Lytechinus pictus: one gene and its partner. The protein of the gene in region 1 purifies or fractionates together with the protein of each later gene. This does not show direct contact. Links are inferred from orthologs where the notes say so. Each region holds a gene or a part of one and is shown in the gene's direction. Other genes may lie near its edges. The genes, in order: RNA-binding protein 42-like and SERPINE1 mRNA-binding protein 1-like.

Region 1 (15,985 bases):
GCCGTAAACGCATTTTCTCTCAATGCAAACGGTGGCGGGCGGTGTGCAAAGCAGCAAAGACCATGCCTAGGGCTTACTGCGGCAGCCCGAATTCTTTGTATCGTCCAAATGGGCTTTGTGAAACAGCTGAGCGATATCTCGTTCTTATATTAACTTATATAGAATGGTTCTACGAAAGACCCTTTCATGCAACAGGCCCCTGGCTAACCCAGCATGCATGCGCATGCCCAGGGAGCTCCGGCCCGCTGCGCGGGCCGGAGCTCCCTGCCTGGGTTAGCCCCTGGCCAGAGTTAAGATTATTTGCCGCAGTCCCAAACATAGAATTTAATGTTGCTTAAATAATAAAGTTAAGAATAGTGAAAGAAACGTGTTAAGAGGATAATTTAATCACATTATCAAACATATTACGGTACCGTATAAACTATAATCTGCTAACGAGTAATTGTAGTTTAGCCTAGCCTAGGGAACTTACGATATAGGCCTACACATAGTTGCAATTGCGTTGTTTTCACAATTTCAGTCACCTCCGCCGGCTCAAGTGTCAAGAATGCTCAGACGCGTACCGTATACCCGGTACCTTGCCCGGTACCTTTGCCCGGTACTCAGTCTCAAGTACGGTACCGGTACGTACGTACGTACGGTAGGCACTTATGAGGCGAGTTTCAGCGGTGGCGCGGAAAAAAATTTGCAACTTACGTCAGGGCTCGGGATGAATATTCATTAGATCGTGGCCATGCGTGATTGGTACTGGGGGGGGGGGGGGGGGTGTGTATGCAGGGGCGGATCCAGCCTTCGCCTATCGGTGGGGGGGGGGCTGATTTTTTTATCAGCCATATTTTCTCAGATCGGCCGCTCGAAGATGATTTTTGGTTTTCTTTGAAAGGGTAGTCCTAATATAGTCACTTCTTAGCTTTATTCTTAATGATTATAAATATCATAATCCTCATTTATATAATGCGAGCGCGAAATCTTATGTATTTTTTCCTAAAATTTTTAACATTCTGGGCAATGCATTGTTTGTTATCCTGAAAAAGATGTGCATATGAAAATGAATAATTACTACGAACGTGAGCGCGAGAAGAAATGAACTGATGGAAAAGGTATATGTTAAAGACTGCTTGCAGCTAGCCATGCATGAAGACGTTACATATTCTAAAAATCAAATAATGCGAGCGCAAAGCGAGAGCTGAAATTTTTTGACATCTTTACCTAAGGAATGTAAATATTAAGCGCTAATTGTAACTTAAACAGAATATAGGTAAATAACTAAGCAAATGATGCGAGCGCGAAGCGCGAGCGGAATATTTTGAGGTTAAGATCTACTAAACGAGACTCTTTATTCAAGTTTTGTAAATCATGAAAAGGATGAGTATAAGTGGGGATCTTCCTTTCACTAATAATGCGAGTGCAGAGTGCGAGCAGAACAATTTTTTGAACTGATCGAAAACTACCTGTTAAGGACTGCTTGCACTTAGCCAGCTCACTTAGACGTTACATATTTCAACAATCAAATAATGCGAGCGTGAAAATTTTGACATTTCTACATAAATAACTTAAAATTTTGATCAATTATTTAAGACAGCTGCTATAGTGTTTTATGAAGATGATTCGATATTTTAGCCCAAAACTTTGCTAAAACCCGTTGCTAGTACCGGGAGTGTATAATTACGCAACCAGTCGTATATTGAGATTGAGCTACACAACTCGTTCTTTATTTAAAATCGTGCTTAAATTATCCGCTTCTCAGATTGGAATATAAAAATTTTCAGCTCGCGCTTCGCGCTCGCATCATTTCTGTAGCAAAACCCCATACTTTTCATGATTAAATAGATGAATAGAATGTCCCTTTTTCAGGACTAAACGTCAAAAGAACTCCCGCTTCGATTTGCAATAATCTTTTGCTGGATATAATCTTGTTCTTTATTACAAACGTCCATTAAACTGTCATTTTTTTTCAGATCGAAATATCAAAATTTTAAGCTCGCGCTTCGCGCTCGCATCTATTGTTTTTTTAGATACCCATCTTAATCATTGGTACCAAAAATGCATAGAATATCAAGCTTTCTGGTCAGAATATAAAGAAATTTCAGCTCGCCCTCGGCATTCGCATTATCTGTGTAGTGAGATATGTATCCTCCTCATGAGTTACTACAAACAGTCCTAAACAGGCACCTTTTTCCTGTTTTCAGGTCAGTATACTAAAAAATTTCAGCTCGCGCTTCGCGCTCGCATTAATTTGTTGGTGAGATATGTTTTCTATCTCATGAGTCATATAAATATATATATATGCATAAGTGTGTGTTTTTGTGTGAGTTTGTTTGTTTTGTGTGATATCGAGCGCCTTTGGAAAGTTGATTCATGATTTTGCCCCCCCAAATCTTAAAAAAAGGATCGACGCCCCAGTGTATATATATACATATAGTAAAAAAAACTTGTATCTCTATTAATATACAAAAGTATTGGCCTCATCGCAATAAAAGGGTTAGTACACGATATTTTGAAATCGCACATAACATGCATAATTTTTGTTACTTTTGCTTGTTTCTTTCTTTAATAAGTTTTTCAATCTTTCTCTATATATGTTTAGAAAGATTATATGTTTAAATTGATGTATATTTCTGTTATAATGAGATATGTTTAAGTGGACTTCAGGGAATGGTCGTATGCAGCAAGGGGGAAGGAGGGGGGGGGGGGGCACATTCGCGATCTGCTGTTGTGAAAAACAATTTTTTTTTCCTTAACATTTCATGAAAGCTATGAAAAATGTGCAAATGTGAGATGTGCACCAAATTTTCGAGTCTTGAATTATTAACTGCGTGTGGTCATGCAAAATGGCATGACTGGAAATCCTACATTTTTAAAAGAGCATTTGACAGGGTCAGACTTTACCCCTTTTTCAACATTTTCTTTTATGGCGCCGGTGAAGTGCAAAAATATGTGCGCCGCTCGGCAGTGCGCCCCCCTTTCGCCAAAAGCTGGATCCGCCTATGGTGTGTGTGTGTATTTGAGTTTTGTCAGACGTGTATCAATCAGATATGATTATTTATGTCTGGGACCGACCTTTAACGTCACCATCCGAAAGACGAACCTCGAACCTCTGCATCAATTTGTAACTTCCCTACATAGCTTGGATTACAGGCGCACGCCACAACGCCCAGCATTGAAGCTCTGCAATTTTAGAAATTTCTCTGAAACTTTAACCTGTTCAAATTTTCTAAATTTCTTAGATTATGTATTACTCGATTAAGAAGAAAAACGAGCTCAAAATGTGAAAGGGTTGGTGCGAGCTAAAAGAGGAACTTTTCCTTAATTCCTGTATATGCTTATTTTGGAAGAAAAGAAAATTGCGTAATTTCTCTCATATTAAGCGCTTCCTTTTGTTTAAGAAACTTCAGTGATAATCAAAATGTCAAACCAATAGCGCAAAACGAGACAGGAGATGGATGTGCAGCGATATAGAATAAACTTTTATACTTTTGCACATAGCATGGCACGAATTTAATGCCCCCCCCCCCTTTGAGCGGATACTTTGCCAAAAATTACTTGCTGAAAAGCGGAAGAAAATAGCATTTGCTGGGGATTCGGGGAGTAATGGTAATGTTTACCCACTCCGAACAGAAGAGCCCAAATTTTGTGTCAATGCAATATGAAAAAAAAATTTCATACTCTTAATCTTAACACCCATGTAAAGTGGTGTCAAAGTCTAATAGACTGCTTGGTATTATAAGAAGAACTTTTGTACATTTGGATAAGACCTCAATTAAGCCTTATTATTCGCCCAATCTTAGAGTATGGCCAGGCTGCGTGGTCACCGTATAAGCTACCCAGCTTATACGGTGACCAGATGCGGTTAGAGAGTGTCCAACGTAGAGCTACTAAATTGATACAAAGTATTAAAAGGGATGGTCCGGGCTGAAAATATTTATATCTTAATACATAGAGTAGAATTCACTGAGCAAAATGCCGAAAGTTTCATCAAAATCGGATAACAAATAATAAAGTTATTGAAGTTTAAAGTTTAGCAATATTTTTTTCAGCCCGGATCATCCCTTTAAAGCTAGAGAAAAGATATTCACGTCTTGATGTACGTAAGTTTTTTTTTTTGCTAACCGAGTGATAGATGTGTGCATGTGGAATTAACAGTCTCACAGAAGATGTAGTTACTGCTTGTTCAGTGATTGCATTGAAGAATAGACTAGATAAGCATTGGGAGAAGATGATTTTCGATTGTGTGTTTTTCATGGAATTTTTGCTGTCTACGATACCCCTGCCACCCCTCCCTGTCAACATAAATGGCGCATCTAATTTTGTCTGAAGGAGAGCAGCAATAGACATTCTACTTTGATCGATGAACAGGCTTACTCCTTTACAACATCGTTGGAGTAAACTAAACTAACTAAACTATGTATACTTTTTTTTAATTCTGTTTTTATTTAACAAATTGAAATAAATCACAACATTTACAAATGATTATTAGGTGATTGCAAATTACATAAACACAAGTTAGTTACACAAAAAAAGACGAAATAACAACCATAATAATAAAAAAAAAACTATCCACTTATCCTCCCCCACCCCCCAAAAAAGAAATGTGGCAAAGTGATGACTTAATATCAGTGTTATCTAAACAAAGATAGGTGATTTGGTAAATAAAGTAGACAAAACAAAATATACAAGCTATGATTATGAAGTGGTTTCCAAACAACTATTCATGGGATTAAAAAACACAACTGGTAATCCAAGACGACATAATTATGGAGGTTTTTAAACGAACAAGTATATCAAGGAGACTGAGATACAAGTTGCATGAAAAAATGGGATCTGATGTCTACAACCATATAACCAATACAGTGCAGTATTATTTTTTTTTAAAGGGGCACTAAGCCTGTTATACAAAATATACAGTGTTTAATTATCATGTAACCTGCTGACATTTTTGAAAACCAAATTATAAGGTGAATCGCCACTTCTTAAAGTGTGTGGGCAACTTATTTTTTTTCTTAGCTATAAAATATTCCAAGTCCTGTTGTTTTTTAACAAATGTTTTAAAAAGAGCAAAACTTGGAGGATTATTCTTAAATTTACATGTATGAATATAATACGTCAAAAGTAAGAAAAGGTATGAAATGAACTTATCAGTTGAGAGTCCGAACATTTTTTTCAAAATTAGAACCATTTATTTGAACATTATTTTGGGAAATTTTCGTTAAAAGGGATTGCCAAATTTACCCTTTCACATTCGCAAATCAGGTGGACTATTGTTTCCTCACTTTTATCACAGAAACACAATTGGGTGAATCATTAGATTTAATCTTATACAAAAAATCATTTAATGCTATGGCTTTATGAAAAATCTTAAAATAGAATGATCTTAATTTAGTATCAATGGTACAAAAAAAAATTGTGTAGTGTACCTTTTCCCAATCGATAGATACTGGTATTGGTAAACGTTCATCCCAATAAGAGTATCTTTTGTCAGGTGTATGTGATCCCCTAAATAAAATGTATGAATTTCTAGGGACTTTTTTTATAACTCAACAATTTATGTACAATTGTTTCATGAACACCAATAATATCAGGGTCAAAACTCACCAACCATTCTTCCGGGATGCATTTAATTAAAAAATTATATTTCCTTCTGTCTGTTTGGGGGATTCCAAAATCTAACACAAGCTCTTCAAAGACCTAAATTGCGCCGGTGCTAAGAGATGCAGTGTGAAAACGAAACAGGGGTAAGGAAAGTGGGGCTAAGCATTAGCCAATCACAGAAGTCGAATTGCACATTAATCACGCTCTGTATGGTAAAATCATCAATATTCATGAGCTGAGGGATAGTCCACGGATAGGGCATTAACCACGGTTGAGCAGATAGTATGGAGTTAAGAAAGACAGTGTGAATCGAAAAAAAGATAGTATGGGGTTAAGGATAGTCCGGGGTTAAGGATAGTATGGGGTTAATGAAATGCAGTGTGAAAAGCATATAGAAGACCTAAAAGAGGAGGATTAAATAAGTCTGACATCATTAAGACATTTCTCTCCTGCCACATTGGATAATTAAGATACTCATAGTTTAGATTTTGAACGAATTAATTTGTTATACCACAAGAGTTGACAACCACTCAAATCTGAAAATTTGTTACCATAAAATTCGATAGCAGCTTCCTCCCTAAATGAATACCACATGTATTCTCAATGCTTCAGCTAATTGTATATTACCAAGACTGTTTAAAATGCTCTCAGGAGCATGAGATTTCCACAAAATTTGAATATCATGATTATATTTTTTTAGAAAGGCTACTTCAATCTTTTTCCATGGAGCATCAAAATTCTCATCCAATAGGAGTTTTACCCAGACCATTTTTTGAGCACATGCAAAAGAAAAAGGGTCAATCATTCTATGTCCAGCCTGAGTATAATCATTACACATTATCTTACGTTGAACTCTATCCTTGCCTCCATTCCAAATAAATTTAAAAAATAATTTTTTTTTTTTTAAAGGCTTTGGGTAATTTAACAGAAAGAACAGAAAAAATAGATTAACTGTGGCAAAATAAGAGTTTTGACAACACAGATTCTACCAATTAGAGAAAGATTTCTAGTTCGCAAGCAGTTTAAAGTTTGCTCCATTCTTTTTAGTTTCTCTTTATAATTTGACTCATAAATTTGTACAACATTGAGATATAAAACTACCCCTAAACATTTAAATTTTGAAGCCTTCCAAGAAACACTACGGTTTATGTAAGGGAAGTGTTGATCACCCTTCTTAGAACCTATCCACATTGCTTCAGTTTTGCTGAAATTAATTTTGCAACCAGAATTTCCAAATTTCCAAATTTCTGCAAGGTTTCAAAAAGCTCAAAAAAAAAGAATTATCAGAACCATTTAAAAAACATACCGAATCATCAGCAAAAAGAGATATTTTAACATCTTCATTTTCAAGTGGGATACCTCTAATAGCATTGTTTTGTCGGACTGATATTGCCATTATCTCTATCACAAGTAAAAACAAATATGGAGAAATCGGACAACCTTGAAAAATACCTCGTTCCATGCATAGGGACACGTTCAGTTAGAAAACCATTGTTCAAAACATAGGCATGGCGAGATGCATATAAAGTTTTAACTGCCTCAATAAAAAAATTGCTGAAATTAAACTTTTCCAATGTAAGAATTAAACTATGTATACTTTATAACTTATGGCAAGAATATACGGTATATATACAGCCGGGAAGGGTAAAACGGAATAGAAAAAAGGTGTGGGAAACAAAAGGGAATGGCAATTTTTATAGTTTTCCCACGCGGAGCGCGGGAGCAAAATTTTGTATGAAGAGAGAAGAACGTCTCGTCTAGGTTTTTATTCTTGTCGGACCTCCAAAAAGAAGGGAAAAAACAACAAAGCTATACCTTTCTTTCTTTTTCTCCCTTTCCCTTCTTTTTTCTTGGGAGGGGGGGGGGTGACCGCCCCACCGCCCTCCTGACTCCGCGCCTGCCTCCCTCATAGCGCACATGCACACTCAGTAGGGGAAGGCGGGGTAAATTGAGCATAGGGGCAAGTTGAGCCACCACCCCCAGGCCAATAATGAATGAGTCAGACATTGTGGTGGTGACGTGTATTGATGACCCATTACATAACCCTTAACCCCACCACATTGTTTTCAACTTTGAAACAAAAAGTAATTTTTTAGAGGAAAAATTCAAATTTCAGCCAAAAAAGTAAAAAAGGGTTTGAAATAGATAAGTGTGTTTTTACCCGCACACGTCTTAAAATATAATTAAGAAATAAGAACAATATTGTTAGTCCAGGTATTGATTCTCATTCTTGTCGTAGTCTTTTACATGACGGCTGCATAAGAAATGTCGCATTAAGCTCGGACTGGGGTAATTTGAGCCAGCCTACATGGGGCAATTTGAGCCATAGTAATTCTTATGGTAATGTATAATGAAAAAAAAAAAACCTTAAAAAGCCATTGATACAGTGGCGTAACTACGGGGCATGGGGGGCACGTGCCCCCCCCCCCAATCGGCTGACAAAAAAAAAAAAAAAAAAAAACGGGGAAAAGGAGAAAAAGAGGGAGAAAGGAAGAGAAACGTAGTGGGAAAGAAGACATTATTATTCATTACACTGTTATATTATATCATAATTATGTTATGTTATATTACATAAGAAACATTTTTTTTCATAACTTTATGAAACATAACTTGCTCAGGGCCTATGTCTTCATTGTTCCTGCCGTTGGCATTGTCTGTTTACCGAGATATATAATCCTGTTATACTAAAACCTCCCGTTTTCAAGTCAATATACACCAAACTGCCAAATATATTTCCTCGCACTTCGAGTTATTTTGTTTTATGTACAATAGTATGCTTCTTTTTCATGACTACTTAAAGTGATTGCCCCATTTTAAGGTCTTGATTTAAACATTTTCTGTCCTTGCTTACGTTTGCAGTAGTGGATTGCTGAAATATGTCTGCTCTCCATTAATTCCTAGAATCAGTCCTTAAATGTCCCTCTTTCTAATCTGAATATCAAAAATTTTCAGCTCACGCTTCGCGCTCGCATCATTTGGTTAGTGAACTACGTATGGTCTTCGTGAATTTCTACAAAAAAACCTTAAAATGTCCCTTTTCAGGTCTGAATTTCCTAAATTTTCAGCTCGCGCTTCGCGCTCGCAAGATTTGATTAGTGAGATGGGTATGTTAATCATGATTAGAAGTGCTTTATGTGCATGTTTAGATGTAATTCTAACATAATCAGTAAGCGCTTATTGGCACTCGCATTAGATGACTATGGTGAGATGTGTATACTCTCAATGGATTCCTAAAATATAGTCCTTAAAATCTTCTTGTTTGGGGGTCAATATTTACAAAAATTTCAGCTCGCGCTTCGCACTCGCATTAGCGAGACAGGTACGTATCATGATTACAAAAGATTGATTATAATGTCCCTTTTTAGGTCTGAATATCAAAAATTTTAAGCTCGCGCTTCCCGCTCGCATTATTTGACCAGTGAGAGACATATCCGTTTAATGGCACTGTCCTTAAAATGTCTCTATCAGGTATACCTGGCAACTGGGCGCGCTTCGCGCGCTCACTTATAGTGACTCTAAATTTTTGCTGGTGCCCCCCAATGCCGTGACCCACGGTACGCCACTGCATTGATATGCAGGCAGAAAGGAGCAAATTCACATGACAGTTCTTTTACTTTTAGAGGATGTTAGTATTCATAGAGAATTAGCAAGTTAAAAGACTTTAAATAAAAAATTTACATGCTGGTTCTTCCTGCATACAATTTGTACATAGTTTTTGGGGCTCAACTTACCGTAGAAGGTGGCACAATTTACCCCATGCACAGATGGGGCAAGTTGAGCCATTTGACATTGTTTTTTTCAAAGGTCACAATGCCTTTCAGTGTGGGGGTAGAAAGTTATATATATATAGGTGAAAAATATTTCCCAAGAGTCAAATCTAAAGGCTGGCCACTTATTTCTACCATACTATTTGTCATATCAATTCTAAAAAGCAAAATGCAAGAAGTGTTACGACCCTGGGGGGGGGCACTTCCTTTTACGAGTGGATACCATGCGCGACCACGGGGTCTTGAAAAGCACCCTAAACACGTATTTTCCATATTCTGAAAATGCACCCCTTTACAAGTATTGGCGTGTGAAACCCTACCCTTAACAAGTATTGGAAACAAATACTATTGGCAAGTATTCCCAGAACTGAGCCCCTAAACAAGTACAGCGATGTATTTTCCATATTCTGAAAATGCACCCCTTAACAAGTATTGGAAACAAAACGATACTCTTAGCAAGTATTCCCTGAAATGAACCCCTAAACAAGTACAGAGATATTTCATTGTTATGACACGCGTCCGTCGGTCGTCGGTTTTACCTTTAGACACCATTATTTTGGTTTAGTACGGCCCCGCCTTCCACACCTCGCGCAAATCGGACTCTAAACACGTGGGGCAAAAAGGACATCCTTTATAAAACATTTTGATTTTGTTTCATCATCCCCGCATATTTGACCCTAAACACGTATATTTTTCCGGGCGAAATAGATACCCTTTTTTCAATATTTTTGTGTTTTTGACACCCTTATCACGTTACGTACGTAACGTGCCCTATCTTGAAATAGACATCCTTTTTACGTGTTTTTTTGGTTGCGCATGGTATCCACTCGTCAATGTAAGTGGCCCCCCCCCCCCGGGGTCACAACCCCGTCACAACTTGCGCCTTCCCCTATACTGTTCACGCGCACGACCACGATCTAATGAATATTCATTGGAGAACCGTCACTGAGAGTGACGTACGAGTTGCACATTTTTTTCCGCGCCACCACCACCGCTGAAATTCACCTCATACCGGTAATTATCCTCTTTTGACAACATGTCGTCCAACGGCGGAGGCAAGATGAAGTCCATTGAGGAAGAAATGAGCAGGTTTGTTATGATATCTTTGACAAATTGGTGATTAAAATCCTCCAGGCATACCGGTATATGATATGAAGTTCCATTTTGATTTGTAGAGGTAGAGTTTTTTCGTGAATTTACTTTTTTTTTTTTTTAAAGATAAATCTTAAATGCCAGTTGTGTAAAAATGGTAACGACTAACGATTTCAAAATGAGTTTGTACAGAATTCAATGAAATGACCACCAAAGTGTCTGTTTGTATGAATAAAAAATATGTGCCAAAGGCAAAGGATTCTGGAAGAAATTGTGTAATTGCTGAGATATCACTCAGCAAATAAGTACGGGATTCGGGTCAAGCTTCGGGCCGACATTCAAATCAAAGCAATTAATAATTCACTGTCCCACGTGCGCTTATCTGTGTTGCCTGTTGGTGATCTTCAGTGTGAACATTTTTCAGCGTAGGTTTCAATTCAAGATTTCACAAAGTTTAGTTTGTGTAACTGTACCACTACCAGATCTAGATCCTCGATGATATGACAATTAAGCCTGCTTTTACAGACTTTCTCGTGAAATCAGTGTTTACTGCAACTAGTCTAGGCCTACTTTCATTTATTTTAGGCCTATCTTTTTATTTAACGTTAGAATAGATTCCAAATAAATGTCAGTGACTTGTATTGTATGTAGTTAGGCCCACTCATTCAATGAACTTGTTCTCTGTGACATCTCCATTATTCGCTATTAATATGCATAGATGGTGGCCGTGGCTCGATGCACCAATGCCAGCTTGTCCAATTCAGTACAGTAGCACGATCATGGTTACCTCGAGCGAAGTTCGTGCAGGCTCCACTCCACTTCACTACCGCTACACTACGCTTCACCTACCCGAACTTCGAGAGTCGAGACCATGAACTCGATCGGATATTCCGAGTGACAAAAGGTGGGATTTTATGGGAAGAAAATACCGAATTCATGCAACATCACGATCTTTAAAAACAAGTGCAACTAATATTCTTACTTTACACAAAGATTCACTTCTTTTCCTAACCCAGAGAGCTCCGGCCCGCGTAGCGGGCCGGAGCCCAGACGCTCAGTGTGCAATCGGGCATTCAGACGAGAGTTCCGTGAAGTTTGGTCTAAATCATTTTGATAATAAATAATTAAAACAGAAATTAAGCACTTACCACGATTGTATGGATGATAGTCTAACGAGTGGCAGTTTCCTGACATCGAGGCACAGACTGGAACCTCAAAAAACGATAAGTTCTGTCGCGGTGGCTCTCCTTCTTTCAGAATTCATAGCAAAATGGCCGTTCGAGAGGGTGTAGGGCGCATGCGCGAATTTGACAAAGTCTATATGCGCTAGTGCTATACTAGCCTCGGTCTCGATCGGCCATTTTGTGTTGAATTCTGAAAGAGGAGAGCTACCGCGACAGAACTTATCGTTTTTTGAGGTTCCAGTCTGTGCCTCGATGTCAGGAAACTGCCACTCGTTAGACTATCATCCATACAATCGTGGTAAGTGCTTAATTTCTGTTTTAATTATTTATTATCAAAATGATTTAGACCAAACTTCACGGAACTCTCGTCTGAATGCCCGATTGCACACTGAGCGTCTGGGCTCCGGCCCGCTACGCGGGCCGGAGCTCTCTGGGTTATTCTTTTCCATGCTTCTATCAGTCTCAAAATTGATGATTTAGAGCCAACATGAAGTTCCTCACACGTATAAATATTAATGCACTGCCGACTTCAAAACATCGCATGCGGGAGGTACCGGGTCTGGTCCGAGCTCGGACCCTCGCGCACATGCGATGTTCTGAAATCGGCAGCGAATTATTACGTGTGAGGAACTTCATGTTGGCTCTAAATCATCAATTTTGAGACTGATAGAAGCATGGAAAAGAAGTGAAACTGTGTGTAAAGTAAGAATATTAGTTGTACTTGTTTTTAAAGATCGTGATGTTGCATGAATTTTGTATTTTCTCCCCATAAAATCCCACCTTTTGTCACTCGGAATATCCGATCGAGTTCATGGTCTCGAAGTTCGGGTAGGTGGAGCGTAGTGTAGCGGTAGTGAAGTGGAGTGGAGCCTGCACGAACTTCGCTCGAGGTAGAGGTGGGCATTGCGCATGGCTGTCCTGACGACTAACGCTATCAGTATCAACTGATCAATACCAGATTTTAAGTTTTGACAGAAAATATGAGTGTTTTCTGTTGACATGTTGGAAAAGTTTGATTGTGACGATGATACTATTAAAAGGGTACTCCTTGTAGAAAATAATTATACAAGCCTACATCTATCTAAAAGTAAAATTTAAAATGCGGAAAATTTAATTTTAACGTTTAGTCAATATTCTGTGAAAACACATGTATAAATGCACGTTGTTATGATTAGATGGGCTGATGACGCATCTTGTCCCCTTCTCATTTCTTATATTATCACATAAAATCATTATTTCATTTTCTCATTAATATATTTTTTTATGTCTCCCTTGCACTAATATAAGTTAACTCAATCAAAGTTCCAAATCCATTATCTGATTTAGCAAACTGTATTTTCTGAATAAAATAAGGAAACCAACTACAAAAAGACAATACCTGCAAGGAATGAAATATTTACCCCTCTGGAAAAAATATTCTTGGCAAATACTAGCAATGATACAATAAAATCCAATTTGCTATTCATAGGAGAATAATAATACATGTATGTAAAGTGCACAATATTTTGTCCACTACAGAACTAACCTACCCCAAGTTTCTTTTTGCTGCTCTCTAGGTTTGAGGAGGAGATTATGAGTTTAACACAGGACCCAACACCTATTGGGGGAGCAGTGAAAAGTCAAGAACATAAAGCATCAAGTTTTCAATTCCAGCCGAGGCAGACCCAAGGAAGGGAAAGGATTCCTAGAGCACCTGGCTTTCAGCCAAGACAGATGGGCAGGCCTGGTAAGTTTGAAGATAATTTCTCTTTTCTGCTGATATCATCAACAGAATGAGATGGCAACTTCTGCATTACAAATTTATATTGTATAGCAGATCCTTCTTGTTGCTAGCGTGAGTGAAAACGTACTGTTTTGAGAGTCATGCAATTCACACAATAGCCGAATATGGGCACCGTGAAAGATTTACATTCACCCAAATATTGTGATAAATGCTATTACATGCAGGGAATTATTTTGCTTCTCAAATTTACCTTGATACATTTCTGGTTGTAAGAGAAAAGCTTTGAAGTGTATTTAAAGGCAATGTGGATTATGTAAATAAATCACAATTTGTTATGATATAAATGGCTGTGAAATATATCAGTCAAGTAATCAATTAACTATATAATCAGTAATTTAAAATCAACCGAACTACAATAAAACATCAGTGATTCCATAATGTTAACTTAAAGCAAACAAATATCAAATCTGTTTAAGTAATTGAATTCAATTAATAGTCAGTTTATATTGTGTTTATTAGGAGAAATTAACCACAAATGCATAATAATGTAACAGCCGTAATATTGTAGAAAATACTCGAATCATACAACTATTCTTTTTATAATTATTGCTTGAAATGAAATTCAAATGTTTAACCCTATTATGAATTTCTATTTTGATTCAACAATAAATGCAGAAAATCAAGTAGTGAAAAGGAGTGTTTGTTTTATGTACTAGTCTTGTCAGGCAATATTTTCACTGTTTTTCTACAGCATTTACACTAATCAGAGCCTCATTGGGATATTTTCATCACCCTTTATAAAAATGAAAAAAATAAAAGCAATGAAATATACTGATTCATTATTGGTAGCCAAAACACATTAGATTGTGTTAGATTGTGTAATACATACATTTGATCTTATAGCAAGTTATGACAAGAATGTTTTTCATTTGTTATAGGTGGAAATATGTCAAGACCAAACAGACCATCAAGGGAACACCATGGATTTGTCCCTCACCAGGTTAGGGCAAACCAGAGACCACAAGGCCCCCCTCGTTTCCCCCACTTACCACCCCCTCCACCCCCTCCCCCTATGGACACTGGAGGCCCAATGGGACCAATGCCCAACATGGTTCCACCTAACATGATGGGTCCCCTCCCTCCCCCACCGATGCCCCCCTTCGCAATGATGCCCCCAGCTCCACCTAATTTACAGAAACCAGTCACTCTATCTGCCAAGCCTACAACCTATGCATCTAAACCAGTTCTGAATAAGAAATCCAAGAAGAAAGTGAAGAAAGAAAAGTCAACAGAGTCAAAGGATGAACCGACAGCTATAAAAAAAGAAGGTTTGTTCTTTTCTAGTAAGATAATGTTTGAAAGTTGCTGAGTGATTCCAAGTCCGGTGTTAACCTTTGGAAAGAATCCAAAGGCAAGCGGCTCGCTATGTCTTAGCTGATTACAGTAGAACCAGCAGCGTAACCAGCATGCTCACCAAGTTGAAGTGGCCTAGTCTGTCTTCTCGACGCACTGTAAGCAGACTCGGCATGGTGTATAGGATTGTAAATGACCTTGCTGCAATACCCCAAGACAAATTCTTCTCCTTAAGCACCACTGTCACTAGGAAAAATCACAACAAGTGTTTTCAGACATATCGTCCAAGAGGCAATATTGACAAATTTGCCTTTGCCCAACGATCTGTACCTGAATGGAATAAACTTCCTTTCCAAATAGTTAATGCAGTCTCGCTTGACAGCTTTCAAAAGCTTCTGCAAAATCACCTTGAAAATATTCCTCACTCCTCCTCATAACGTGCGTCCAAGTTTCAGTTCATCTTCGTGATAGGCTGCAGAGCCCTTTGAAGATTACAGCAGATGATGATGATGAACCTTCCTGTGTTGAAGCTAGTGTTAGTTCCATATTATCACAGCACCATACGTAACATGTAGCTGGTACAAATCTCACTAGGTATCAAACCAGACCGATGTCATTAGCTTCATGCTTGTGTTCATATCAGTGAATGGAGGAATTGGAATTATTTAGAAATATATATAAATCTGAGTTGTCGTTTATAGGCTCTAAAGCTGTACTAGAAAACGCTTCAAATTGGTAATGTTAATGTTATGCCATTAAGTCATGCAGGAATTAGAGTTTTATTTAACTTCACAATGTCTATGTCTACCCAGATCCCTGCCGTGTGTAAATCAATCAGGTATCAGTTGCAAAATTTAGGTTTCATTCATAAGTATTTAACCTGCTCTGCTCTACAGAAAAGATAGTACGTGCTCTGATATCATCTCAACTTGATTTTGGCAATACACTTTTATGTCAACTTCCTTAATCCCAACATTCACACTTACAAAAATTAAAGAATTCTGCAGCCCGTATTGTTACCCTTACCAGACGCTCTACTCACATAACTCCAGTTCTGTCCTCACTGCATTGGTTACCCATCGGGTACCGTATTGTATTTAAGTTATTATTGTTAGTTTTACACTGTATCCATGGATATTCCCCAGAGTACATTGTAAATTTGTTGATGCCATACAATCCTCCTTGACGTTTAAGATCTTCTGATTCCAAATTGCTTGCCGTTCCAAAATCCAAGAAATCATGGGAGGATCGGTCGTTTGCACATGCTGGACCTTCCT
Region 2 (15,346 bases), on another chromosome or scaffold:
AAATACAATTAAAAATTGCAATACCAAATTTTTTTTTAGATACATTTGATCAGGATCCTACAAAGAGTCTCTAAATAAAAAAATAGCAGTTTTTTGGCCGTATGATACTTGATTAGAGCAAATGTTTTATTTCATGCATAAATTAGCATAATTAATTCATTAAATGAAAAATCTTACTATTTAAAAAAAAATAACCTTGTAGATTTTATTGCACACTACCACTGCAAATTTTTGCGGCGAAGGGCAAGAGGGGTTCAAATAACCCGGCTCTTTTAGGGTTAAAACAAGCAATGTAAACTGATTTGCTTCAGTTAAAATTGATCTATCAATTGTAAGATTGCAACAGAATATTTGCAAATGATTGTAAATAGTTTCTTGCAACATCCCCTAAGTCTAATTCTCATCGAGAAATCCTCAACTCACCAGTCGATCTAATTTCCACTTTATTTAATATAATTAGCAATGATCCAGGTCCTACTACTTCACAAATCACAATCCACTCACCACATCTGCAAATTTGAGATTTGCCATCACAGTATTCCATTTCTTTCAAACTTCTGTTACTCTGTCTTTCTTGTACTTCTGTTTTCACACTAATAATTTTAGTACCAAGACTGAATTCCCCTTAAAGTTAAGTGATAGACTTCTTTGGTCCAGAGATTGGACCTAAGCACAAAGTTGTCTTTTAAAATATCAACTGCACCATTACATTATTACAATGAAAACTTTACAGATCAAATCAGTTTTATATATATCCATATTTTATTCTCTATATCATACATTCAATGTATGTACATTTATGTTACTATTTACAGTTTCCTTTCCCTCGCATAGTGGATACAAGACAGGCAGAATATACCAAGGGCCCATTTCATAAATACTTGCAACTATTGTAACTTTGTCATTATTATATCTACCATGGAAACCTTAATTGTGATTGACTACTGAGCCATGTTACCATGGTAGTTACCATACCTGCAAGTCTCTTTGAAATAGGCCCCTGGCCTGGCATTGGTAAATGCAGTATATACACGCAGCCATTTTGTTATAAAAAAATATCAAGACACATTCCTCAACTCCCCCCCCCCCCCCCAAAAAAAAAAGGGGGTAAATGGAGGATTTCACTTTTTTTTAGCGTAGGCATTTGTTTTGATGTTGGGAGTGGTGCAGATTTTTACATCGACAATAGCAAATTGTCCTGCGATAAATCTCACTGGGATTTTACCTAACATAAATGTAATTTAGATCTTTTGAGGGTGTTGGAGCTAGGGAAAAAATGAAATCATCCACTGTCTTCAAAATGATTACCAAAATAATTCTTAAAATTTGAATATAGAAACATACAGATATTAGATATTTCTGTAAAAGAAAACATTATTTTGCATTTGATCCATTTTCAAAACTTAATTCTTTAAACTCTTTCCCAACCCTGATTCTTATTTAAATATATCAACTGACAAAATAAGCTATCACATAGAGATGCTTCTAATGTTCCACTTACTAACACCATTTCAGAGTTGGCATGAATGTGTATGTTCAAATTACAGGTTTAAAAATGATGTTCTATGAAAACTTAACGTGGATTGATCTTGTTCGAACTGCAAAATGACTGATTTCTTAAAAAATTCTTGTTAAAAATGAGCGATGAAAGTTTTTGTTTATGATAGAAATAAAACGGTCCTTCAGGAATCCCTTGCTTTTGACCTGGCAATGTAAAGACATACATTAAATAAATATTTACAGAGTTACACTCAGTAAAAAAAATGAAGACAAAACAAACATCACAACCTACAAACACCAAGTACAAAATTACAATAAAATATACTATTTGATGCCTAAAAAAACACTATAAAAGATTAACTTTAAAATTAGAACATAACTTTAAAATTAGAACATACCTGTAAGATGCATTCGCTCTTGCATATTCCACAAGTACATTTGGCTGTACAGCGTCCATTTTGACCCACATGCCCCTACACGACCCCACCCCCTAAATTAATTTACCTTTCTTTTAAATTAAAAAAATCATTAATATGCAGCTCGTAAATGTACTACTGAACTAATGCAAAAGTCACGATCCAGAAAAAAAGACACTGAAGTTTGAAATTAAACATATATATTGTTCAGCTTTGAGAAGCATTAAAATATAAGATTAATAATACAGCCTTTTATGTTGTAAGAGTACTTCAATTATCTTAATGAGGAATGTGACCCACGCCTAATCTTAATGATACACAGAAATTATGTGTTTTTATGACATACCATGTGATGTTTTCACATGCTTACATTCAACAGATGTCAGCAAAATATTGATATACATCTCTAGCATCAATTGTGAAGAGAATAAATTACAAAGTAGTTCATCAAACAAAAGTCTGAATACATCTTCATGTATATACACCATGTATGTAGCATCTAGATATTCTCAAAGACCAAAAGCAGTGATAAATATTGAAAACCTTGCTTAACCAGCTTTACATACATTTATATGAGCACATTTGTTATACCCACAAGACAAACTAGCATACCCTCAGTAAGATACAATCATCTATCCGCTATATTAAAATACAATTTTAATAAAATAGAAAATGTACTATCACATCCATGAAATATCCTGTTCTTGCCTAACCATGTTCTCTTTTCCTTAATATAAATATGCACAGCAAACATACCTATAATACTCTGAAAGTGAAAGATTTGGTTGTAAACTTCTGATCATGGCAGAAATTCCCATTCAACAACTCGCCAGAGCAAAAATGCCCACATGACATTTACAACCCCCCCCCCCCCCCCCCCCGGCCTTCAAATTAAGCCCAAAATCGGATGTACAATGAGAAAGTTATGACATTTTAAAGTTTCGCTTATTTTTCACAAAACAGTGATATGCACAATTCAGTGACATGCAAATGAGACACAACCGATGATGTCCTTCACTCACTGTTTCTTTTGTTTTTTATTGTTTTTGTTTGAATCATAATATTTCTTTTTTTTTTACAGATTTGATTATAAGGACCAACTTGACTGAAACAAAGTATCAAACAATGCAAGTTCCACATGTTCATGGATCAATTAATTGTTGTTTCACTTGACAATGAGAAAATTAGAATATTTCATATAATAAAATACAAAAGAAACAGTGAGTGGATGATGTCATCAGTCTCCTCATTGGCATACTGACCTGACCAGGATTAGCACATAACTGTTTTGTGAAATGAAGCAAAACTTTAAGGTGTCATAACTTTATTTTACATCCGATTTTGATGAATTTTTAGGTGTTGTGCTTGTTTGGTTCTTCTCTTTTTATTCAAATCCATTTTTTATTGGGGTGGACTTGTCCTTTGAGTTAACACAAACTCTACCCCCCTCCCCCAACACACACTACCATCCACAGGGATTTGTCATCTTAAGAACAGGGTAGTTGGTAGATAGATACAGTTGTAACTTGTACCAATTGAGGAAAATGGAAATACTTGCCCTCTTAAACATTCTCAGCACTGCCATAATTCCTATGTATTTTACAATTTAAATTTATGCATGATTATAGTGCAAAAAGGTCTTTCATGTTCCATAGCGATGGGGAAATTTAAAAAATTAAATAAACTAATAACAAAAACATGCTTGTAAAAACTGTTACAATGAAGTATTCATCTTGGTCATGCTCAGTCTTTAAAATGAAAGTTTGTTTTGATGGGAAGGAGTTTGGTCTCAACATCATCTACTTGAAAACTTCCATGCAGACATCAAGTCATCTCCTCAAAGGCTGTAAAACCACATGTCACAGCCAGAAATATAAAAATATCACATCAAATGTTCCTTTTTGAGCTAGAAATCATTCTAAAGTATCAATCTAGTTTTCAGAGATCGACTGTGAGTTTCCAAATGTATTTTGTGCGAGCTCAATTAGGGCCATAGCCCCTAATAATTTGTCCTTATGCTCTTGTTGTTGTTCTCGTATGAGCTGCCTCACCATCGGTCTCCGTCCACGCTTTGGTGTTGTCTCCTCGCCCGCGTCACTAGATTCTACGCTCTCGGTCCTGAGCCTCTTACGAGTGTTTGTATCCCTGGGTCGTCTGGATGTAGGTGTTCTCATGAGTGGGCTTGATGAACTGTAAAGAGTGGCTTCTACTTGTCTCTTTTGATACCTACACAAAAAAACAAAAAGATTCAAAATGTTGTTTTAAATAAAATACATGAATGCAAGATACATTAAGACTTTGGGAAGCATTTCATGAAAAGTTTATCGTCAGTGATTTCCAGAAGCTTATTTTGTTTCATGAAATGCTCCCCTTTACATCAAGGCTTCCTTTGTAGACAATAAAACAGTCTCTATGAGCAAGTTGCATGAATGATACATGCTTAAGTAGGTATAACTCAATTACAACTAGTCAGCATTCAGAATAAAGTGGTGGTTCTTTTGTACAAGTGGATGGTATACAGGAAGTCTCACTACAAATTAATGTCATAAACTTTCAAAACCAGAACAAAAATAGCACCCAGAATGGCAAATACGCATATAACAAAATGACCTGCATGAATATCATACGGATCCATAATAAAGGTAATTTGGAAATGAAAGCAAAAAACAGGTCCTATACTAAAGTAAATATATATATATATATTAAATTCACCAGAATGTGGAGCAATAGGATATGAAATGACAATACTGATAGCTAAAGACTGTTTAAATTCTAAAGGTATCAATAATATTTTGGGGGTCTCTGAAACAAATGAATGACCAATAGTGCTGATGTTAGGTGTGGGCACCTGTTATTTTCTATTGGTGGAAAACCACTCTGCTTGCAGAAATAATATCACAGGATCTACTTTCATGAAGTACAACTACGTATTTCTCCCATTACAGGCCTTAAATCTAAAGTGTCCTCAGGGCAAGACCAGACTTTCTGAAGGGAATGCTCCAATGTCATAGCACAAATTAAAGAGATTTGAATGGCAACAAAAATCTCTGGCCAATTAGGGGATCTTGACCTTTGAGGTTAATCAAAAGGACATCTGCAACCATGGCCTTAGAATGACATTGCACAGCAAAATCTAGTTTTTTAATTTGGCCTGGGAGAAGTGTATGCCCCTGTTTAATAGACTGACTTCATATTACTTGAAGTGTCAGACAGAATTGCTAAGTGGTGGAAGGAGTCAACAAATACAAATTGACCAAGGGTTTTTTTTTTTTTTTTTTTGCTAATCATTTCAGATAAAGAGATAAACCACAAGGCTACTGTTGCCAATGAAAGTGTTACGGAGTGACCCTGAGCAACAGCTTTTTAGAGACGTTAAAGTTCTCTTCTCTAACTTACCTCTGTAACCATTCGGCAACTTCTTCACTGTTCTCATCGGTCCTGACGACTTCTTCCACCTGTACTTGGGTTGTCTCTCGACGAAGGCCGGCATATGGATGCTCCGGACAATGTCTGTTTGCATGTGTGAATCTGGATTGACAACCTGGCAACAACAAAAAACATTTAAAGGCACTTAGCAATTATGTCCAGGATTCTAAATATTGGGTACGCTAAACCTCAATTATTTTCTTTTTAAAATGAATTACATTTTGTCTGAAATTTTCAGTTTTAGGCATACTGCACCTTTTAGTTTTTCATAAACAAATTTTGCTACTTCAGCAATTTAAATTCATCCCTTTTAAAAAATATATTTGAATTACAGTACACATGTGTATGTACATCAAAACCTCTTATATTCAAATGTTAGAAACTTGTATACCAGTGGAGATATTTTGCAATTAAGTATTATTGCAAAACTTGTGGAGAAATAAGTAGAAGCACAAAAAAATACATTATTTGATGGAATAATGTTCTATTTTTCCATCATTATTAATTTACAAATCTTCTTTCCTTGCTTAAGTCATACAAATCCCCATTTTGAAGATGTTACAAACTGGAATATAACCAAATCCAATCTGAAAAAGTTAGATTCAGTATAATTTGGAATTTGAATCAATCCTGCTGGTAAGTACCTCCTTTTTTTTTTGCTTTTCTAGGAATTCAAGAAACCTGAATGGATCAAACATGGATCGAGGATTTTTTCTTCATTTTAACTACATATTTCCGGGCAGCTCTTGGCTAATTCTAACTTTTCTCTGTGGCAATACTGGGGGGTGTTTAATAAAGCCGTTTGTAAAATAAGAGCAACTTTAAGAACGACTGGTGAACCTATCTTACGCACTAAACCATCGCCAGTGAACATTTTGGTGTATACTATTTACCACAAGAAAGGATCACCAGTCGTTCTTAAAGTTGCTCTTGACTTATGAACAGCTTTAAGGAACACCCACTGGGTCAAGCAAGACTAACCTGGAACTGAGCAAGCGAAAGGTTTCTCTCCTGTATGTAATCTCTGATGGGTCTTCAACTGACCGCTCTGAACAAAAGCTCGGTTGCAGTTTGGATAGTCACACTTATATGGACGTTCTCCTGTTTTCCAGAAGATAAAAACAAAGAATGTGTAAGTTAAAATTTGTTAAAGGACAAGTCCACCCCAACAAAAAGTTGATTTGAACAAGTAGAGAACAATCCAAGAAGCATAACACTGAAAATTTCATCAAAATCAGATGTAAAATAGGAAAGTTATGACATTTTAAAGTTTTGGTAAATTTCACAAAACAGTTATAGGCACATCCTGGTTGGTATGCAAATGAGGGGACTGATGACGTCACTCACTATTTCTTTTGTATTCTATTATATGATATATAAAATATTTTAATTTTCTCCTCATTGGAAGGTGAAACAAGTTTTCTTCCTCCATGTATACATGGGGAATTACAATTGTTCTAACATTTTATGGTTCAGTAAAGCTGGTCATTATTGTCAAATCTGTAAAAATGGAAATATTGTATAATTCAAACAAAAGAAATAGTGAGTGAGGGACATCATCGACTCTCTCATTTGTGTGTTGCCGAGTTGTGCATATAACTGTTTTGTGAAAAATAAGCATACATGTAACTTTAAAATGTCATAACTTTCTTACTTTACATCCGATTTTGATGAAATTTTCAACGTTATTCTTGTTTGATTTTTCTCCATTGATTAAAATCAACATTTTTCTGGGGTGGACTTGACCTTTAAATAATAATTTTTATCTATAAATTGTTCTTCAAAACAACATTTTGTAACATCGCTTATCGAAGGTACATAATGACGAAGCGGTTCAAGGGTCAAGCCTTAAGCCTATTATATTTGCGTTGTTTACAAATGGATCGAGGGATCTACACGAGATCGGTCTGGTATGTAACCTCTCGTTTTTAACCTTTTTATTAACATATTTTTGCACCTTCATACGCATATGATTAGGCGTATGAAGGTGTATAGATAAATAAAATGATACAAATTTACGTTATTTCTATCTTCAATTTTCAAAGATGGATTTTCTAGGGAAATCCATCTTTGTTTACATGTCCTCTTATATGCCTATGGAAGGGGTTTCAAGGCTTCGTGATGAAGAAGTATATGTCAAAATATTTAAAAATATCATCACGAAGTCCTCAAGGCTAGCCCCTGCCCCAGTTAGCAAAATAGACTTTCGTCTTTCGTCAAGGACAAGGTCTTATTTTTTTTATACTGACGGCCTAAACTTGAACTTAGTCATGTCATGATATAGCTCACGAATAGACTTCTTTTCAAAGAGATAAATCTTGTCTCTTTCTTTCTTGTTTTCTTCCTCCATTATCATATAATTTCATAAGAAAAAAAAGGTTAACTTATAATTATGACTATGTAACTAGGTCAGCTCAGCAGTTTTCACCCAAAAAAATACATGATCTTTCACACAAATCAAAATGTTTAGCATAGCCTACACTACGTTATTCTCTAACTGTAAATACAAGTAATAAATGTCTGACTGAGAAAATGAGAACTGATGACAAAATTGACATCTGAATCTGATGTCCAAATTTTTATTATAATTTAGCCAAACCAAAGCGAGCCCTATCATTTATGATGATTCTTTGACACTCTCTTTCAATTAATTACCTGTATGCGTTCGAAGGTGTGCTGTTAATGACTTTTCTCGGGGAAAGATCCGATCGCAAATAATACACTGAATGACATCTCGACGGATTTCACTGCTCCCTGCCTTCTGCAACTCTGCCACCGTCTCTGCCCTCGGTCTCCCCCTACTTGACCCTCGTTCGACGGGCGGGGAGCCACCGCAAGAACTGCTGCTGGCAGATGGGCTGAGCTCGACGTTCCCTGCACTCTCCGACCATTTCCAGGGATAAAAGTAGCAGATTCCAGGACTCACAGGACTTAAAGGCGTCAACGATAATTTTGGTGGTCGAACTGGTGATCGAATTTCAGTGTTAGGCATGATCTTATACGGCGAATTCTTCAAAACGTTAGCCATTTTCAGCTGTCTGTCGTCCCGTTCTCTTCTTGATCTCGCGCGTTTACAACAAACCGATCTCGAATTTGGCGCTACAAAATGCTCCGGTGCAAGGTGTTATGGGAGTTTTTTTCAAGCGGGCTCTTTAAAGGATAGCCTCAAACTAACAACTTAATTTTGTTTGCAAAGAGATAACTCGTTTGCTCCCCCTTTTCTCTTTTTATACATTGAAAGAATTGAATTATTCACTCATTTTTCATATAATGAAAAACTTATATAGTTTTTTTCGTTCATCTCATGTTGTAAAAAAGCATATTTTTGTCAGCTTTTTAAGTCGATCCCTGATAAAGTAAGATTTAGACAAAACCTGAACTTCCATATATGGTAATTGGTGTTATCAGCTGTCTTGTCGGTACTACAAGCAATATTTGTTTTTGCCTGGATTATTTACCTTGATTACTGTGTAAGATATTGATCTTATCTTAGACGAAAATGATAAAAAGTTTAAATTTGCAGGACATTTTTCTTGCAGTCTCGCTTGATATGATTATGATTCCCGATTTTCATAAAACCGGGCGAATCTAAAAGTAAAGGGGGGTATTTCGGTGTATATAATGGTCGCTAGAAATGAATTATTCATATTTTGGACATGTATATTTAATGTATGATTTTTTTACAACTTAATGAGGATTTTCTTTCACCTCAGGTTTATACCTCATTATTATCAGAAGGGATCTGAATCAGATAAACGTATTTGAACCCCGGGATTTGAACCCCTTTTAAATGTTTTGTCCAAGAGAGCGAGAGCGCGCGAACATGCATGATATGCTACTGTACTAACTCGTACCATATATGCATGACGTACGTAATCTAGCGCAGGCTGGAAGCTCGAAGTACGGATCCTTCCAGCGCAGCATGCCTGCCGCCGAGCCCTCGCTCTCGTTCGATGTAAACATTGCATAGCTATTTTTCCGCGCGTGCTTCCTATTCACTTTGTGTACAGTTTTATCGCCATTTTTAATGACGGGGGTTTCATTGAGAGAACGCATTTTATAGCGTTAAATATCTTTCTAATCCTTCATAGAACGAAGGATTTTATCACAATGGAGGTTACTTACACTATAGGAGTAAGTAACCGTTTCCTTTTGGACATGGATACGGTGTCCGATCCACAGGATATCTTTGCTGAAAAGGAACAACGAATGAAGGAGAAGAAGGAGAAAAGCAGCAAACCCAAACAGCCAAAGCCTGCGAAGAAACCAGAACCAGCCAAAAAGGCCCCAGAACCTGAGCAAAAATCGAGGAAAGAAGGTATGAAAGCTTCCTTTTTTCTTAGAAATGAAATGTATGATTTATGATGTGTCTAAGGTAGTATTTTGTTACCTCCCCCATTCAATATGTAGGTTTTAAAACATCTTGTAAAATTATGTTCGTGGGGCCTAAAAATAAATTTTCTCCATGCTCCGTGCACCACCACCCTAACCCGGCATGCTTTTCATACATGTTCATGCCGCACGTGATGTACGGACTACGGGATATTGCAGTCATTGACATTGACATTGCGTTTACTATTTAGCAATTGAATATAAAGGTCTAACTTTAGACTCCAGGGTATTGTGGAAAGAAGTACTGTTAAGTAAGGGTTGATTTTGAAATTAAAAAAATTTGTTTGGTAATAAATGAGGGGCATGAAGCCATGATTTTTATGAATGAATTTAATTTCCAATTCCACATGGAAAAGAAAAATGGATGCCAACTTCAGTCCGACTGTCGGTTCAGCTAATTTGACCAGGCCCAGGCAGCAGGGACTACAGCTGGCAGCCATTTGTTTCAAGGAGTTTGTTTTTACATGTATTCCTCCTCGTACACGGACAGCTCGCGATCGTGCAGCGCCATTAGGGGTTAATGCAAAATCCCCCGACGGGGCTCATCGGTTTTTGTCTTTATTTCATCAAAATATAGGCCCGAATTCACAAAGGTGGTTTTGAAAACCAATGGTTGAATCCATGGTTCATGCAGATTTAAATTACGCTTAATTTCGCACGTATCAGGCGTGTGTTTAAAAAATGTCCAATGCTGATGCGCGCTTTTGTCACAGTGTGCCAAATTGACGCCTGTTACCATGGTTAGATACGCTATTTTATTCATGAGTCCACTGTTTGAAGAGTGGACTCATGAATAAAATAGCGTGGATAACCACGGCAACAGACCACAAAGAAGAATTGTACAGGAAACCCGCGCATGCGCGATACGCTCGTTCGATCGCCAGCGTAGTGCGTGACGTCATGTTTCATTCACAAATCTTGAGCTGTGATCTCATTGGGTGTTTTGGCTCTCATTTGCATATTTTCCCATAATACAAAACCTATGTAGTGCGAGAAGTTTCTCTGCGAACCACCGATCAACCTCATACTAAACACGACGTATTTCCTTCAAGATTTCGAGTTGAAAATCTCATTTTCTTCATACGGTGTAGCTACATTACCTCGGAAAATCTGATGATATTTTGCGGACTTCTCGTCATTTGGTAAGTCATATTTTTGAAGATATTTACCGTCGAGAAGTGAAAATCGCACGACTGTGTTCGTTGTTTACTGTGTGTCAATGTGTGCAAAGTGTATGTGAGCGACATGTATTGGTACAGAGCGACATACGGAAAACCGTCTACACCGAGGTTTATTTTGTGAACTGTTTTGCGGTGGTGTTTGTGCTTAGTCCGCAATGGTGTATATAAAGCATGGCGTACGTTGTGTTGTGATCGGGCTTCGCTCGGTTGTTCGTGCATGGTTCGTGAATGGCTGTGGAATGTGTGTGAGCTCGGCCATGCGGCCTTGGGGCGTGTATGTAATGAATGGCAGCTGCACCTGTTGTTGTGTATGGCTCTGAAATTGAAGCTCTGCTTGTATTAATGGAATGGCGAATATCATACTCGTAGTATTTTAGGAATATAAGTTTGGGCATTTTATTTGTTGGGACTTTCGTGATACTGATTTTACTTTTAAAACTGGACACTGATTTTTTTTTTTCGGTAAAGCCAGGGACAATCAATGGAATTGTTGAGACATGATAATATCATAGAGCTATAGCTCTATGATAATATCAATAATTATAGACCCTACAGAAATACAGGAAATTAAATTGAAAAATAATGCAAATTATAATCACTGAAGTGCGGATGTGTACCAAATTGATATGGATGGAGATTGATTTTGATTTTGTTTCCTTCAGTATTTTTTTTTTGCAAAAATCAAATATTTTCCTGCCCTGTTCTTTTTCTTATCAATTTTTTTTATCTTTGAATTACCAATTATGACAGCAATAAATCAAACTCAAAAGTTCAAACTATGGTCTATTTTCATTGTATAATCTACAGCATAATCCGAAGATGACTGACACTGATTGAAAGACTGTATTTCACAAGACCCAAAGGACAAAGGTCGAGAGCTACAAGTTCACATCGCATTTTACAACTGCTCAAGAAGGTGAAGGATTTGGGGATCACTAAATCAAGACGACGATATTCGGATATAAAAACAATTTTATTTTTATATGAGATAATCTTTCAACTTTATTTTTACTTAAAATTGAAGAAGTGAATAATCTTTACAAATTATGAATATGATGCTGAGAAGGATCGAAAACCATTCTGTCAACAATGATGCACTGTAAAAATGCTATTATGTATATATGGTCATAATGTTCTTGTGATTTATTTGTAATTAATTTATGTATTATGTTGTTTCACTGTTGAAAATAATTCAAACAATGTTTAATATGTGAATTGCATAGTAGTTTAAACATTTTAAACAAGTGTTTAAGAACTTTATAAACAACAAAGTTTAAACTCTAATATTTAATCATCAATAAATAAAGCATGGTTGTTTAAGATTTTGAACACTTGTTTAAACTGTTTAAACTACTATGGGATTCACACAGTAAACAGCATTGTTTGAATTATTCTTAACATATAAATATAAATTATATATATATATATATATATATATGCTCAATAAATTCTTATGCATTAAATTTGCCTTCAATAAGAGTTTCCAGTTCAGTATGAATTATACAAAAAACATGGAATTCTGGAATGACATTCACTTTCACGGAATACATGTAAAACACTGTTCATGAAAAGTATAATGAAAATCATCAAAAATAAATTAAAGCCAAACTGTAAAGAGTAAGCCAACCCCTATATCATGATTTCTTTTAATAAAGATTTAACAATTTGCAACTGCATCAACTTTATTATTTTTATATGTCACTATAATACCCCAGTCACATTTCCCCTACGGCGGCCGTACGGCAAGTCGAAAACAGCAGTTTAACATTATTTTGTACCAGTGTACATATACATGGTTTGAATAAAAATGAATAAAACGGCCGTTTTCGACTCGCCGTACGACCGCCGTAGAGCAAATGTGACTACTATACTAAGGACGTCAACATTTAAAGAACATCTTTTAATGGAAAACTGGAAAGGATTGATATAAAGTCCAACGAAGTTACTTAAAGCCAGATTTATTCACATATTGATCAATAAATTTACCCCATACTTTCTACATCTTTTGAAATTGTGATTTAATTTTCTGAATGCGTGTTTTGGTTCTGTCAACCATTGTTTTTCATGTCTATGACAGACTCGTACCTCGGTCACATTTGCCGCACGGCGAGTCGAAAACAGCATTTTTATTCATTTTTATACATGGATAAACCACCAATATGAAGCTGGTACAAAAACAATATTAAAACGACTGTTTTCGACTCGCCGTATGGCCGCCGTAGAGCAAAATAATGTGACCGAGGTATAAGGACATAGCCCCTCGGTCCGTGAAATCCCAAGATTAATTGTTCCGAGGCTTCCAAATAATTAATAATTCATTAGACGGGGTCCCAAACTTCTCTTTATAAATTGAATGTTTTTCAATTTCGGATAAAATTAATATAACTTTCATACTTAATAGCTTTCTGTTAAAGTTTATAATTCGTATCCAATTATTTCGTTTTTAATATGAATTATAAGTATTTTCATTTGTTTCAGGGGCGGATCCAGGATTTTTTTTAAGGGTTTCAACCAAAAATAATTAAGGGGATTTGGTCTTCACTTTCTAAAGGGGGGGGGGGGGCACGCTTCTGTTTTAACACCATTTTTAAATTCCAAATTTTACTTGTGCCTCTCAATGGTGGGGGGGGGGCGCGCACGTGCCGGCTGTGCCCCCCCCGGATCCGCCAGTGATTTTTATTGTTCTTTCATTTGTTCACCCATGATCACGAATGTTTTCATAATGCATACATGTACCTCACGATTTTTTTTTAAATACGATTCTAAATGTTATGAAAATAGTTCGACAGGCCTAATTTTTTTGCATACCACACTCATGGAGCTACTGTTGCTACTCTGCATCAGCGTGTAGTGTGCGAGAGGGGGGGGGGGGTAGGATGGTCGCAAAGAGCGATCGAGCAAAAGAGAAAGTGGTCCATAAATGAAGAGGGGATGTTGAGAATTGAGATCATGTGTGTGTGTTTGGGGGGGGGGTGTTCGAAGCGAATGTTGTCACTGCTGATTACGATGATGGTTGATTAATCTTTACATCTTAATTTGGGCGATTTTGGAAATGTTTTCTTGTACTGGGGAGAGGTGAGTGATTCAGTAAGTTTCCATAGAAGTGCAGTTTTAAAGTTACAGAAGAGGATTTCACCCAATGACGGGAATTCGGGAAACACCATTTTCAAGCAATACTAATTCGATCACGTGCCATCGGCTTTAGGGCCGAGTGTTCTCGTTCACATTCCAACTTTCATTTCATAAATAGGCACTCTTACAAATTAGGCCGATGCCGTTGTAAAGATAACTATTTTTGAAGCGTTATTCAGATATAAAATATATAAAGACAATTGAAATTGAACAATTCATCAAAATTTCCAACGATATTCAAATAAAAATAGTATCAACTCGTGTAGAGATAGGGGTGAACAGACGAAATACATGCTCCTAAACGTTCAGACAAATCAATTAACTTGATATCTATATCTTTCGATGAATTGTTCAATTCCATCAGAAATATGCTTCATGAAGTCTTGTCAGATTGTTGAATGTGAACTTCTATTGGAATCTGTTGAATCACGTACCCCTCCCGATCCAAGGTATAGATTTCCCAATCACCATAGATAACATACGGTTACATATATGGTATCTTATTTACATTGTTAGGTACTGACAATATCTTCATAAATACATTCACAATTATTTCATGAAATGTCACCATTGCCGTGGCTGTGACATGTTAAAGCCTGAAAGCTATTACATAAAATATTGTTTGCACTTTGATATAATAGAGGTCAGATATATTCTTGTCATCTAATATAAACATTCCATTATTATGAACCATGTTTCAAAATGGGTAAGAAAATTACATTACCATCGGCATCCAGATAATTAGTCCATGATTAGACCAGGGAGATCGGAGTCTACCCCTTTTTTTGGAATTTCTATTTTCTCAGCACATCGGAGTGAGGAAAATCCACCAAAAACCCTATATTGGTATTAAATGATAACCATTTATTGTAAACAACGTTTAGGACTGAGGGAATTGGGGGAGAGGGTATGGGGAGGGAGAGTATTTCATTTTCCAATAAAATGCAAAAGTATATTATTTTCGTGAACATGAACGAAATAAACAAAAAGTTAATAGCTCAATATCTTTATTGAATTGTTCAGTAGAACAATAATACTAGCTGTAATAATGTTAAAACATTTCAGTCATTGTAATTACATGTGTTTCATCAATCTCAATATATTGACAATGAAAATAATTTTTTAATATAGAAAATATATTTTATATGACTATTGTGAATTTTAAATAATCCCATTTTAGATCGTTGATTAAACCACCTTTCTGAAAACAATCACTTTGATATCTCATGTAAAATCAATTTTAGATAAAAAAATATTTTCTGTTAAAATTGATTTCTAAGATGCCTGTCTGAAAGTTGA

The links.
Region 2: the proteins of RNA-binding protein 42-like (region 1) and SERPINE1 mRNA-binding protein 1-like purify together in Homo sapiens (affinity purification with mass spectrometry; 3 studies listed by BioGRID and IntAct, with this or other methods). This does not show direct contact. The link is inferred for Lytechinus pictus from reciprocal best matches to the Homo sapiens genes RBM42 and SERBP1.

The regions. Positions count from the first base shown.
Region 1 is NC_087252.1:34,934,665-34,950,649, forward strand, and holds the start of RNA-binding protein 42-like, read left to right. Parts: upstream 1-10,305; 5' UTR 10,306-10,392; coding exon 10,393-10,445; exon of another isoform or gene 10,446-10,533; intron 10,534-13,188; coding exon 13,189-13,358; intron 13,359-14,293; coding exon 14,294-14,683; intron 14,684-15,985. UniProt on the Homo sapiens protein: Binds (via the RRM domain) to the 3'-untranslated region (UTR) of CDKN1A mRNA.
Region 2 is NC_087255.1:23,539,761-23,555,106, reverse strand, and holds the start of SERPINE1 mRNA-binding protein 1-like, read left to right. Parts: upstream 1-8,370; 5' UTR 8,371-9,452; coding exon 9,453-9,660; intron 9,661-15,346. Other genes in the region: zinc finger protein 367-like, read right to left, coding at 3,848-4,142, 5,313-5,457, 6,324-6,443, 7,998-8,370. UniProt on the Homo sapiens protein: Ribosome-binding protein that promotes ribosome hibernation, a process during which ribosomes are stabilized in an inactive state and preserved from proteasomal degradation.